Linked DNA regions of Callithrix jacchus. The protein of the gene in region 2 purifies or fractionates together with the protein of the main gene of each other region. This does not show direct contact. Links are inferred from orthologs where the notes say so. Each region holds a gene or a part of one and is shown on either strand. Other genes may lie near its edges.

Region 1 (4,152 bases), on a different chromosome or scaffold from region 2:
AAAATAATGGAAATAGTTGATCCTCCCACCAGCAGAGAAGTGTCTCTAACCTTGCATGACTGGGAAGAATTTTTCATTCTTGGAATTCTGTGGGTTAAAAAGACGTTTCATTAAATATCTGTTCCTGCTTTTATATCCTCCCCGTTGGCCCCAAAGTGCTCCTTGCCTGTTAGCCTAGTTGTCTCCTTGATACGGGTTTTGCACCTTTGGCTCTTAGTTTGATTTGTTCGCTGCTTACAGCTTTTTTGTAAGCAAACCAGAATTCTGTAATACAGCCATAAAGACATACAGAGATCTATAGATCTGTATTTTTAATCACCTACAGTAATTGTGTGGAAGGAGAGGGAATTTGAACAAAGATCAGATAGATCGTGGTTCCCTGCTTGTAGAATGGCCCTTCGTTGGTAGGGCTGCGCCCCAGGTGTAAGTGCGTGGGTGTGGGGGCGGGGGTGGTCCCTCTGAGCTGGCAGGGTGGGGGTGGGGGAATTACAGGTCACCTAGAGCAGCCTCTCCAGCCCCTTCTGCCCTGCCTGCAGCTCATGATGGAGCAGTCCAAGAAGTCCTCGCTCATGGTGGCCCGCAGCATCCTCAACAACAAGCTCATCAGCAAGAAGCTGGAGCGCTATCTGAAGGTGAGCCGCTGGTCCCGCGCTGGCCCTGACCCCAGGCCAGTCCCCGCCTGTGCTCCCTCGTTCAGTGTCCGCGCCCCTCCCTGCAGGGAGAGAACCCTTTCACCGACAGCCCCGAGGAGGAGAAGGAGCAGGAGGAGGCTGAGGGGTGCGCCCCGGACGAGGGGGCGCAGGGCGAAGCGGCAGGGGTCTCGGAGGGTGCAGAGGGCGCGCCGGCGCAGCCCCCCGTTCCCCCAGAGCCGGCCCCAGTGGCCGCGTCGCCACCACCACCGCCGCCCCCAGAGGAGGAGGAGGAAGGTGCCGTGCCCCTGCTGGGAGGGGCGCTGCAGCGCCAGATCCGCGGCATCCCGGGTCTCGACGTGGAGGACGACGAGGAGGGCGGCGGGGTTGCCCCGTGACCTGAGCTCGGGGCGGGCGGGGCCCGTGGGGCCGAAGCTGGAAACCAATCCTAATAAAGTTTTCCATCCCATCTCCAGCTTTCTCGGTGACTGCCTCGCCGGCGGGGCGGGGCAGGGCGGGACTGGGCTCGGGCAGAGAAGCTGGATGCGCATGCGCAGGGGCTGGGCCCTCTGGCACAGCAGCCGCACCACAACTCCCGATACGCTACGGATGCGGATTCTGAGGAGCCCGAAAGGCCAGATGGGACGGCGGGGGCGGGCCTTTTTGAAGACCTGCCAATAGGAGCGCGCGGAAGTAGTGACGTAGCGCCTGATCTTCCAGTAGTCGACGGTGGAGGTGCGTTGAACGCATGCGTCCCGTGGCCGCCTAGTAAAAGGGGTTGCTGGTGGGCCGCGTCGAAGCCATGGACCAGGGTTACGGAGGTTTGTGTTGGCTGCTGGGCGCGGAGCGGGGAGGAAAGGCGCTGTGCGGGCGGCGCAGCCGCAGCGCAGACGGCCACGGGCCGGGGCTTCGTCCGGAGCGTGGTTGCCGCAGCCGGGACCTACGAAGAGGAGGTCGGGGCGCGCGCGCGGGCGCGCCGCTCATTGGGTTTTGGCGCCGTCGCTCCCGGGGCGCTGCGTGCGGATTGGCCGTCAGGGCCTGAGGAGGCGGGCGGGACTCGGGGTTGGGGTAGAGGCCGCGGTGGGCTTTATGTGGGGGTGCCTTGGGCCGTGTGGGCCGTTTCTGCCTCGCAGCTTCCGTGGGGCCCGTCCGGTCCCTACCGACACCGGTGTTCGCACTCCCGACTTCCTCTTCCGAAGACGCCACAAAATGGCGGCGCTAGGGGGTGGAGCCACAGCGTGGGGTCCTGAGGTCCGGCCCGGGGCCCGGAGTCTGGGGCCGCCGGCTGACCGCGGGGGCTGCCTTTCTGCAGGCTTGTCCTAGGCCTGCGGGGCCAGGTGGGGGCCTCCGCTGGGCTCACGTGGCTCAGGGAGCCTGTCCCAGAAGCTGTCGGGCTGCGTGAGGTCGGCCCTTTAGTGCCGGGTGCAGCGTGGTGGGGTCGAGTGTGGCCGGCGCAGGAGTCAGCTTTGCCGGGCTCCAGCTCCGTACCCGGCCTGTGTTGTCCCGGGACAGGATAGTGAGGGGCAGGTGCTGAGTGTTGGTGCAAAGCTGGAAACCTGATGTGCCCTGGGGCTGGTGACAGATTAGCCGTTCTCCTTTAGGCAGTCTGTTGGAGGGGCCAAGGAGCTGTGCAAGAGGGAACGTGCCCTTTCCCCACTTGGTTTTAGCGGTTTCCCTGCAGTAGATCCGATCTTCTCTAGCTGCCTGCTCCCAGCTTGTGGAATCAGAGCCCTCTGAGAGCCAAGTTTGCCCACGGGATATTTGGGACATGCTGGGTGGGGCTCGACTGGTTGTAGAGAAGCTAGTGGTGTGATCCTGGCTGCAAGAGCTCGAGAAGTTGTCGGTCTTGAGAAGTGTCAGGGCAAAAGGATCCCAGCAGCAGAAATTGAGGACAGAGAGGGGTCGGTTCTGAGGTGGGAGCCTGTGCCCGTGTGCTTTAGGTGTGTACCAGACCCACAGCCTAGGTAGATTTCACTATTCTTTTCCTTTCTTCCCATCAGATCTTTTTTGCAGGTGCTGTATTCCTCTTTTTCAGTCTTAATTTGGAGATTTGTTTTGTTCTTGAGACGGAGTTTCGCTCTTGTTACCCAGGCTGGAGTGTAATGGCACGATTCCGGCACACCGCAGTCACCGCCTCCTGGGTTCAAGCAATTCTCCTGCCTCAGCCTCCCGAGTAGCTGGGACTACAGGCGCGCGCCACCGTGCCCAGCTAATTTTTGTATTTTTAGTAGACCAGGATGGTCTCGATCTCTTGACCTCGTGATCCACCTGCCTCGGCCTCCCAAAGTGCTGGGATTATAGGCATGAGCCACCGCGCCCAGCCAGTTTGGAGATTTTTTTACCCACTCTTCCTATCTCCTGAAAACCTTTCAGACTTAGTGGAGATACTTCAGCTTCCCTGATTTCTTGTGTTTCAGGGAGGGTTTTCAGGTTGACTTAATAGCGCATGCCACTTAAGGAAGCAGTCTTACGAGGTTGGTTACTTGCTGTTAGAATACGGATACAGATTTAGAGGGCCTTGCAGTATGACAGGGAAGGGAAGGCATAGCATAGCAGAGGGCAAAACTCAGCAGTATGACTGGGTCAAGTCTCATAATCCATGAGCCTAGTTCCCTTCTCCCGAATGGCATTCTGGAACAACAGGGTTTTCTTTGTACTTGCCGTGTATCGGCACACACTAGGCGCTTAGAGGTGGGGGGTGCTCTGTTGAGGTAGACAAGGATGTATTCCTCCCTTATCAAAGTGAAGTCTTTTGACAAGCATAGTGGCTTCTCAGCTCAGTGCTGGGTCCCAGGAACACAGAAATGAAGAGAATACAGTTCCAGTCTTCTTTCCTGGAGGGACCAGACAGATGCCATAGTGGGCAGGGGTGTTGGAAGGGTGAGGAGTACAGAGTCTTAAGGCCAGGCCAAGACTCTGGGACTCTTAAGGATTCAGGGGATCCTTAGAGGGCTTAAAGTAGCAGGAAGTGCAGCTTAGAGAGTTGCAGTTTATGCCACCAAATTCCCATGCTTGTTTCCAATTATGGGGTCCTTGTGATGTCAGTCTCAGCCAGTTTCCTAGCTGTGTGATGGGTGGGGGAATGTGTCCTCATGGTGAGTGGATTGCCTTGTGTTAGCCTCAGTTGTGGAGCGAAGCTTGGAAGGGTAAGCTCCTGGGCCAAAGTTTCTCTGCATGGCAGAGCTGACTTCCAAGCCCACTTCCCTCTCCCCTTTTTCTGCTTTGACTTCAGCCAGGTGGAGTGTGATGATATAAGAATTAGCCAGCTGTGGGAGGGCCTTTGGAGGTGGGGGTGGGTTCTTCCTTTTTGTACAGCTGGCACTGAACTGCAAGGAGATCCCTTTAGGCTCCTCAGAGTACCCCCAAAAGGACCCATTCTCTAGTGTGACAAATAGAATCTTAACTCACAGGGTCTTCTTGCAGGCTATGGTGCATGGAGTGCTGGACCTGCCAACACCCAGGGTAAGTGGGCTCTGCTTTGCAGGTAAGGCATGGGCTTCCCCTACACTCAGGGCCCTAGCAT
Region 2 (4,020 bases):
TCAGTGGGGATGAGGTGCTCCTTGCTCCCAGTTGCTCAGCTCCCAGCAGCATTGAGCTCCTGGGTGTGTGCCAAGCCTGTATGGGAGGTGCTAGGGAGGATTTTAATTAATACTGGGTAATTACCAGGTGGTGTTTAAGCATCCCAAATGCCTTCAGGTTCCCAAACCTACAGCTACTGTCTTCCTGCCTGGGCCTGGAAAGGAGAGGGGGGGACTCTGCCCTGTGCCCAGTGGGCCTTTTGGTTAGCACGTAGGCTGTGGTCTGATATCCCAGGAAGGTCTTCATCTTTTTTAACTCCCTTCCAGTTTGGAAGGAGGAGGAGAGCAATTTGGGAAATAGCCTGGCCTCTGCAGTTCACTTATACCATCTCCCCAGGGGCAAAGGATAACAACACTTTGTGGTCTGCTCAACTTCATCAAGCAGTGTTGGCCTAGGGTCCAGTGTAGTGTGTGGGGAGAGGAGTGGGCAGACCTAGACCTGTGGACCCTGGTGAGAGTGCTCCAGGAGGAACAGGCACAGAAGTCTTTCCTGCTTTTGGCCTTACTTCCCTTTCTCACTGTATTCATTTGGCTGAGTGAACTCTTTCAAATTTATTTTCTGCCAGTGGCTCTCAAATTATGATGTCACTGAAACGCCTACTTCCTACAAGGCCTTCCGCATTTGACGTCTCAGAGACCTGCCAGACTCCTGAGTTAATTCACCATTCCACCTGGCAGCCACGGGAGTCCTGACTCCACCAGGCCTTTGCTCTTGTTCTATGTTCAGATAGCTTTCCTCCAGATCTTCGCCTGGTCGGGTCCTGCTCAGGCCTCAGGGCCAGCTTGAATGTCACCCCTGAAAGTGAGCCCTCTCTTGCCCTTCATCACAGCAGAACCACACTGAGGTGCTCATATGTTTCTGCGTCTCGCTGTGTCTCTGGTGCTAAGTGCCAGCAAACAGGAGACTCTTGGCATTTACTGAAAGAATAATTTAAAGGTCTTCAGGACCAGGCGAGAGGCACTAATCGGTCCTCTTCATGGGTAGACCATTCATTACTTAATTCCCTGGATTCCCGCTGGGAGCTGGCAGCTGGAACCCTCCACTGCCTTGACCCCCCGACAGTCCAAGGGGCGGGCCGCCCAGTGGCGCAAGCGCAATGAGGGCCGGTCCTAGGCGGGGACGCGCACGTCCGCGGACGCGTGCGACACAACCAGGGTGCCCGCCCCGCTCGTCCCCCTCGCCTGCCCGTCGGTCCCCGCGGCGGCAGCGGCTGCCCAGTGACAGCGGCGGCGGTGCCAGGCCGGCCGTGGTAGCGTAGGGTTGCACCGCCCGGAAACGCAGAGCCGGCCAAAGAGCCGCGCGACGCGAGGAAGGCCGAGCCTGGGCCGCGCGCTTAGAGACCTTGCGGGCGGGGAGCAAAAGGCCGACGTGAGTGAGCGCGGAGACAGTGGCCGCAGGCGGCCCAACCCGTCCGTCCCCTCAGCCGCCGCCGGCATGAGCCACATCCAGATCCCGCCGGGGCTCACGGAGCTGCTGCAGGGCTACACAGTGGAGGTGCTGCGACAGCAGCCGCCTGACCTCGTCAAATTCGCGGTGGACTACTTCACCCGCCTGCGCGAGGCCCGTGCCCCTGCCTCAGTCCTGCCCGACGCCACCCCACGCCAGAGTCTGGGCCACACCACGCCAGAACCCGGCCCAGACCACGTCGCCGACGCCAACGGGGACAGCGAGTCGGAGGAGGACGAGGACTTGGAAGGTAGGCTGTGGGCGGGGCCCTGGGGAATGGTGCAGGAGATCTCCAGAGGTCTAGAGGGGTGGCGGGGGGCCGGTTGTCGCGCTGGGGGCCAGCCGACTGCGGGCTGAGACTGGGAGCTTCTAGCGCTTCCCTGAGACACCGGCGTGAGCCCGCGTGCGCCACTTCCAAACTGAGTTCCGCGGTCCTGCGAGCCCTGGAACGTACCGAGTCAGATTCAGTCTTGAAGGAAACCTGCGCGTTGTCGGCCCCGCCAGAGGATCCCTCACCTTGTCTTGAGACACTTCACCAGGTTTGGCTTCGAAGACAAGAGCATTCACATCCAGTGACTCGTGTTTAATTGATAGGACAGTAAGTTTGTTTGGAAATAATTCATTTTTTTGAAAAGTTACTGTGAAAACTTTTAAACATAGATAAAAGAGGAAAGGTGAGATAAATCCCTCTATGCCATCACCTATATTTAACGGTCGTATTTGTCACAAAGTTTCATCTATACCTTTTTTTCTTTCTTTGCCAAAGTTCATTGAAGCAAATCTCTCAGGTCATTTCACTTCTGCTTACTTGAGTATGTATTTCTTAAAATATGGTACCTGGGAAATTCCTATTTTAAAAAATTTGGCCAAAATGATTGAATCAAATTTGGCGAGAGTAAATAATTATCTTGCCAGCCGGGGCAGTGGGGCCCTGTAGTCCCAGCTACTCTGAAGGCTGAGGGAGAGATATCCCTTGAGTCCAAGAGTTGGAGACCAGCCTGGGCAAAATAGACACCCTACTCCACTTTAAAAAAGGAAAAACCTGGCCAGGTGTGGTGGCTTACTCCTGTAATCCTAGCACTTTGGGAGGCGAGGCCTGTGGATTACCTGAGGTCAGGAGTTTGAGACCAGCCTGACTAACATGACGAAACCCTGTCTCTACTAAAAATACAAAAATTAGCTGGGTGTGTGGGGTGGGGGTGCCTGTAATCCCAGCTGCTGAGGAGGCTGAGGCAGGGAGAATCGCTTGAACCCGGGAGGTGGAGGTTGCAGTGAGACAAGATCATGCCACTGCACTCCAGCCTGGGCGACAGAGCAAGACTCTGTCTCAGAAAAAAAAAGGAAAAACCCAATAACTATCTTCTTGTTTACTCTGGGTTGTAGCTTTAAAGCAAAGGATCCCAGCTGAGACTGTGAGGTCAGGAGAGCAGCTTCATTGGTTCTGCTTGCTGTGCCAAGATTTATCATTTAGTAATAGTAAACCTTTTTCAAGAGTATGCAGTAAGAACTGAGCAGGAAACAAGTTGGAAACTGTCCCTCTCCTCACAAAGTTGGTGATCCAAGATCATCACACTTTTTTTTTTAAGACAGGATCTCAAAAAAAAAAAAAAAAAAATGTATCTCACTCTGTTACCCAGATTGCAGCATAGTGGTACAATCAGGGCTCAGTGTCAAGATTTATTATTTAGTAGTGGTCAGTAAACCTCCAAGAGTATGCAATCAGGACTGAGTAGGAAACAAGTTGAGAGTGTCCCTCCCCTCACAAAATTGATGATCCAAGATCATCACAGCTATTTTTTTTGAAAGACAGGATCTCGCTCTGTCACCTGGGCTGGAGTGTAGTGGTGCAATCAGGGCTCACTGCAGCCCCAACCTCCTAAGCTCAAGGTATTCTCGCACTTTGGCCTATCACGTAGTGGGGACTATAGGCATGTGCCACTACAAAGTGCTTGGCCTCCCAAAGTGCTGGGATTACAGGCAAGAGCTACTGTTCCTGGCCAAAATAACACTTTCTACATCTGATCTAAGCAAGGGTGTTAAGAAACAATTAGAGTTTCCTTGTTTCTTCAACATATGCTTTGTCAATTTAAGAGTAGAATTGGCTGGGCACGGTGGCTCAAGCCTGTAATCCCAGCACTTTGGGAGGCCGAGGCAGGTGGATCACGAGGTCACGAGATCGAGACCATCCTGGTCAACATGGTGAAACCCCATCTTTACTAAAAATACAAAAAATTAGCTGGGCATGGTGGCGTGTGCCTGTAGTCCCAGCTCCTCAGGAGGCTGAGGCAGGAGAATTGCCTGAACCCAGTAGGCGGAGGTTACGTTGAGCCGAGATCGTGCCATTGCACTCCAGCCTGGGTAACAAGAGCGAAACTCTGTCTCAAAAAAAAAAGAGTAGAATTAGCCTACTTTTGAACAACTAAAATTTAACAAAACAATGACACCATTTGAGAGGCCAAGCTAGAATCTTAGTGTTATCAGATCACACACACAAAACTAGTTCTGAGTTGTATCTGGTCTGGCCTAGTATTCAA
Region 3 (4,261 bases), on a different chromosome or scaffold from region 2:
TTTTAAGATAGATTGTTTTAGATAGATCTTTTTTATTCCTTTCCTTCCCTTCCTTTTTATTCCCCACCCCTCCCCTCTGCCTCCAAAGAAAACCACACAAATTTCTTACCCTTTAGTGCCAAAAAACAAGTACTCAAAATGTTTGTTAAATGCCACCAGTTACTTTCATTCCTGAAAATCAACAAGGCAAATTTTATTTACTTTTAATCAAAAGAGATGTTTTGCCCAAGTGCGGTGCCTCATGCTTGTAATCACAGCACTTTGGGAGACCAAGGTGGGCATATCGTTTGAGGCCAGGAATTTAAAACAACTTTTGGCCTGGCCAACATGGCGAAACCCCATCTGTATTGAAAATACAAAAAATTGGCCAGGCGTGGTGGCGGCACACGCCTTGTAATCCCAGCTTCTCGGGTGACTGAGGGGCAAGGGCGAAACCCCATCTCTACTAAAAATACAAAAATTAGCCAGGCATGGTGTCACGAGCCTGTAATTGCAGCTACTCAGTGGCTAAGGGACAAGAATCACTTGAACCCAGGAAGCGGAGGTTGCAGTGAGAGGAGATTGCACCACTGTGCAGTCTGTCTGGGCAACAGAGCAAAACTCTGTTGATGTTGTTGTTGAGAGAGAGAGAGAGAGAGAGAGAGAGAGAGAGAGAGAGAGAGAGAGATGTTTCTAAGTGAGATCACTAAATCAGGGATTTAGGTAAGTAGTAGTCTTCAGTGGTAAGATTTTAAAATTAGCATGTCTCAGCCAACTAGAAAGAACATTTTTTTCTCTCAATTGAAATTTCTTGGTATGGCGGATTTTATGTAATTTAAATCTTGTATTTTGTTATTTTTTTCAAATTTTAGAATGTTTTAAAATATACTCCTGGTAATAGATGTATATCAGCAGATTATAAGTTTGATAAGCAATACTGACATACTAAGTGTCTGTAGTTCTGTATGTATTAGACCTAAATCAATGTATTAGAAACTTTCCATTTTTAAAAGTGCTATTTCAGATTGTTTTATTTATATGTTTTATAAATTTGTTTTGTAATATCCATTTCATACTAGTTTTTTTGATGAAAAGTTAGCTGTTTATAAGGATTCATAAAATCTGTATATTAGTTGATTTCCTAGAAAAAAATACAGCCTGTCTTTAGCATGTTGTATTTGGAGGACAGCTTGGCCTTCAGTTGTTTGCATAGACTTGTCATACATGTTTAACTAGTTTTATTTAAATGTTCAGCCTACTAGTTTTATATTTAATGCTCTCATTGCATTGACCTGTATATTAATATTAAAACACCCAAACACAAAGCCTTTTAGGCAGATATTGCAAGTTTTTAAAATCCTCATCTCTAGCTGAGATGAAAAGTGTTTTGCTAAGAAAAGCTCAGTAATGTGCTGTTTTATATTAACAGGAAACAGAACAGCAGTAGTGGTTTGAATACCCTGCAAACAGGAAGTTTGAGACATGCATAGCTCTTAGCTTCTGTGTAAGAAGTTGTGAGCTCTTTCTGGGAATATTTGCAGTTACATTAAGTAAAGTGTAAATGCACATGAATGGCAGCTTATAGAGAACCACCTTGTAACCAGTATACAGGTACAACTACAGCTCTTCAGAAATTGGAAGGTTTTGCTAGCCGGTTATTTCATAGACACTCCAAAGGTACTGCACATGATCAGAAAACAGCTCTGGAAAATGACAGCCTTCATTTCTCTGAACATACTGCCTTATGGGACAGATCAAGTAAGTTTTATTTTTTAAATGCTACGTTATAACTAGCAGCTAAAATGGTAATTGGAGTTTTACAATCAAACATAAAGAACCCTCTTTTGTTTGTCGTTTTCTAATTTTCACAAGGACATTTTACAAGATAAAGTTAAAAGAATTCCACAAAAACTTGATTGTAAGTTGAACTGAATCATGCAGCTTTCATCGTTGTATGGTTTTATTTCTGACAATTTAAGTTCAATATCGGTGACAGAGTTTTCTACAAAATACTTAAGATTTAGAAACAATCATCTGTTTACTTCTTAAAATGTTTTGTATTTTTAAGCTTTAAACTTTGAAAGGGCAACAAGACTCTTGAATTTATAATTAGATTTCTATTGTGTTTGCCATGTTTTTATTTTTAAATGCATGGGTGAAAGTTATTTCAGTTTTACAAACAGGAATTTAAAAAATAAAACCATAATTATTCTATTTAAATTCTTACATTTATAACATGGCTATCAAAACTTTATATTTCATGTTATTTATACATATGACTGAAATGCAGGAAAAAATTGATTATGCATGAATCGCATTCCTTCCAGGCACATTAAAATGTTTGGACTTACTACTTTGCTTAACTGGTACCATGGAACCATTTTTGGTGCCATACACTCTAAAAGATAAGTTGCACATATAAACAATACTAGTGCCGCCATTCTTCATCTCACCTTGGACCCTCCTTAATGTATTTTTGTCACTCCGATTAGAGGAACAATAGAATTACCCTTGAAACTTTTGCCCTCTTTGGTGTGTTTGTTTGATCATCAGATAGCACTAGGGTTTGATCTTTCTGTTTATGTATTCGATAGCAGTTAAGGAAGAAAATTCAGTTTAACAACAGCCAAGCAAAATCAAGAATGGCTTATAAAAGTTACTTATAGGTTTATACAGCACCTTAACAGTGTTATAGAAGCTTATTTGAATTAATTTTTTACTGAATCAGAAATTTTTTTACATTCTTCAAACTATTTTAGGGAGATTGAGGAAGAACATATATTTGTACACTTTTTTCCACTTAAAAGGTTTTGGGTTAAAGTAGTCTTTACTTTATAGCAAGTTGATGGATTAGGAATATGAATTATATATATACATACATATATATAAAATCAAGTTAATGAACTGTTGAATATTGAAATAATGACATATTATTAAACTTTACCATGTAACAGTAACAATAGCTTATTAATTGTTATCTTTGCCTTATTCTTTTAAATTGCAGTCTCCTAAATCCTTTTGAAAATTATTTATGCATTTCAAATATATTTTAATTTAAAGTTAAATGAGGAATAAAGACAGAATTGAATTAATTTCTGTTTCATTAATACCTGCTCCTTGTATAGTGGATGTTTAGTAAAAATGTCTCAAATAAATTAATGTTAGGGGTTTTTAATAATTAAAAGGTATGTTTGAACTAGACTTTCACCACTTTTTAAATGTATGGGACCTGCAATGCTTTCTAAAACACATTTTAAAATCTAGTAATGGAAAATAGTATAAGCCATGGTTTCTATTGGAAAAACAGACTGATAAAATGCTGTTTTTCATTTATTTTTAATCGTGAAGTCAAAACAAATAAAATCATTGTTCACAAAAAATTAGGAGCAAACCATGTAGCCCTGCAAATAATATACATGGTGTAAGAAATACTTAAAGATTAACTGAATGTTCATTAAAGTATTCCTTTACTTGACTCTCCTTTTTATATCCCCAAATACCATAGTAGAGATAATAATTTTATATCTAAGGATGAGTATGGTAGCATGAAGCTCTAATTATGAAATGTGTTGATATGGAGGAGAAAACAGTGATAGAGCTGAAATAGAGGAATCCTATCATTTCAAAATTCCGAGGTTTATTTTTATGGTGAAAACATAATTTTTATTCATTTGGCAAATTAGCTATAGAAGGAGTTCTGACTGTACAAAGTTTCATATGAACCACATTCTTCAAAGCTTCCTAAAGCAGTTTACTTGTATGACTCGTTTGACAAGAAAGGGGAATGTAATGTCTCCTGATGATAAACACTGAATATATTTGTTCCTAAAGTGTTTTTTTAAATGAAATCAACTAAGCATAGAAACTATACCAAGTTACAAAAAAATTAAGTTCATAAACTGTTGTATAAAAATTGATTACTAATTTAGGAGATATGAAATGCATCAAGCTTTAATCCAAGTTTCTTTCTTGTCCAGTGACATTATATGTAGGAAGAAACACAGAACAAAGACCACATAGTGGTCTCCAGGTGTTTCATCCTTTACTGTTAAACTTACAGAAATTCATGTTTGATTAAATAAATGTGTAACAGCTAATTGCATGCACATATAAATACATGAAGTTCATAGAAAAGCATGGAGGAATTCTGCTTTTTGTTCCAACTCAGAATGAATGAGAGTATTGACATTCATTAAGTTCTCTTTCTAGCAAATTTATTATGGTTAGCTTTTTAATCTTCGTTAGATCATAAATGTGTAAAGGTATATAATGCTGACTTAAT

What was found. The genes of interacting proteins can lie anywhere in the genome.
Region 1: the proteins of PRKAR2A (region 2) and AKAP8 purify together in Homo sapiens (affinity purification with western blotting; 3 studies listed by BioGRID and IntAct, with this or other methods). This does not show direct contact. The link is inferred for Callithrix jacchus from reciprocal best matches to the Homo sapiens genes PRKAR2A and AKAP8.
Region 3: the proteins of PRKAR2A (region 2) and PRKACB purify together in Homo sapiens (affinity purification with mass spectrometry; 6 studies listed by BioGRID and IntAct, counting the BioPlex papers as one, with this or other methods). This does not show direct contact. The link is inferred for Callithrix jacchus from reciprocal best matches to the Homo sapiens genes PRKAR2A and PRKACB.

What each region holds. Positions count from the first base shown.
Region 1 is NC_133523.1:14,076,797-14,080,948, reverse strand, and holds the start of AKAP8 (A-kinase anchor protein 8), read left to right. Parts: upstream 1-1,347; 5' UTR 1,348-1,431; coding exon 1,432-1,582; intron 1,583-1,688; exon of another isoform or gene 1,689-1,966; intron 1,967-4,052; coding exon 4,053-4,091; coding exon of another isoform or gene 4,092-4,113; intron 4,114-4,152. Other genes in the region: AKAP8L (A-kinase anchor protein 8-like), read left to right, coding at 537-632, 719-1,027. UniProt on the Homo sapiens protein: Anchoring protein that mediates the subcellular compartmentation of cAMP-dependent protein kinase (PKA type II).
Region 2 is NC_133516.1:31,471,588-31,475,607, reverse strand, and holds the start of PRKAR2A (cAMP-dependent protein kinase type II-alpha regulatory subunit), read left to right. Parts: upstream 1-1,219; 5' UTR 1,220-1,474; coding exon 1,475-1,736; intron 1,737-4,020. UniProt on the Homo sapiens protein: Regulatory subunit of the cAMP-dependent protein kinases involved in cAMP signaling in cells. Type II regulatory chains mediate membrane association by binding to anchoring proteins, including the MAP2 kinase.
Region 3 is NC_133508.1:121,359,587-121,363,847, forward strand, and holds the start of PRKACB (cAMP-dependent protein kinase catalytic subunit beta), read left to right. Parts: upstream 1-1,456; 5' UTR 1,457-1,550; coding exon 1,551-1,737; intron 1,738-4,261. UniProt on the Homo sapiens protein: Mediates cAMP-dependent signaling triggered by receptor binding to GPCRs.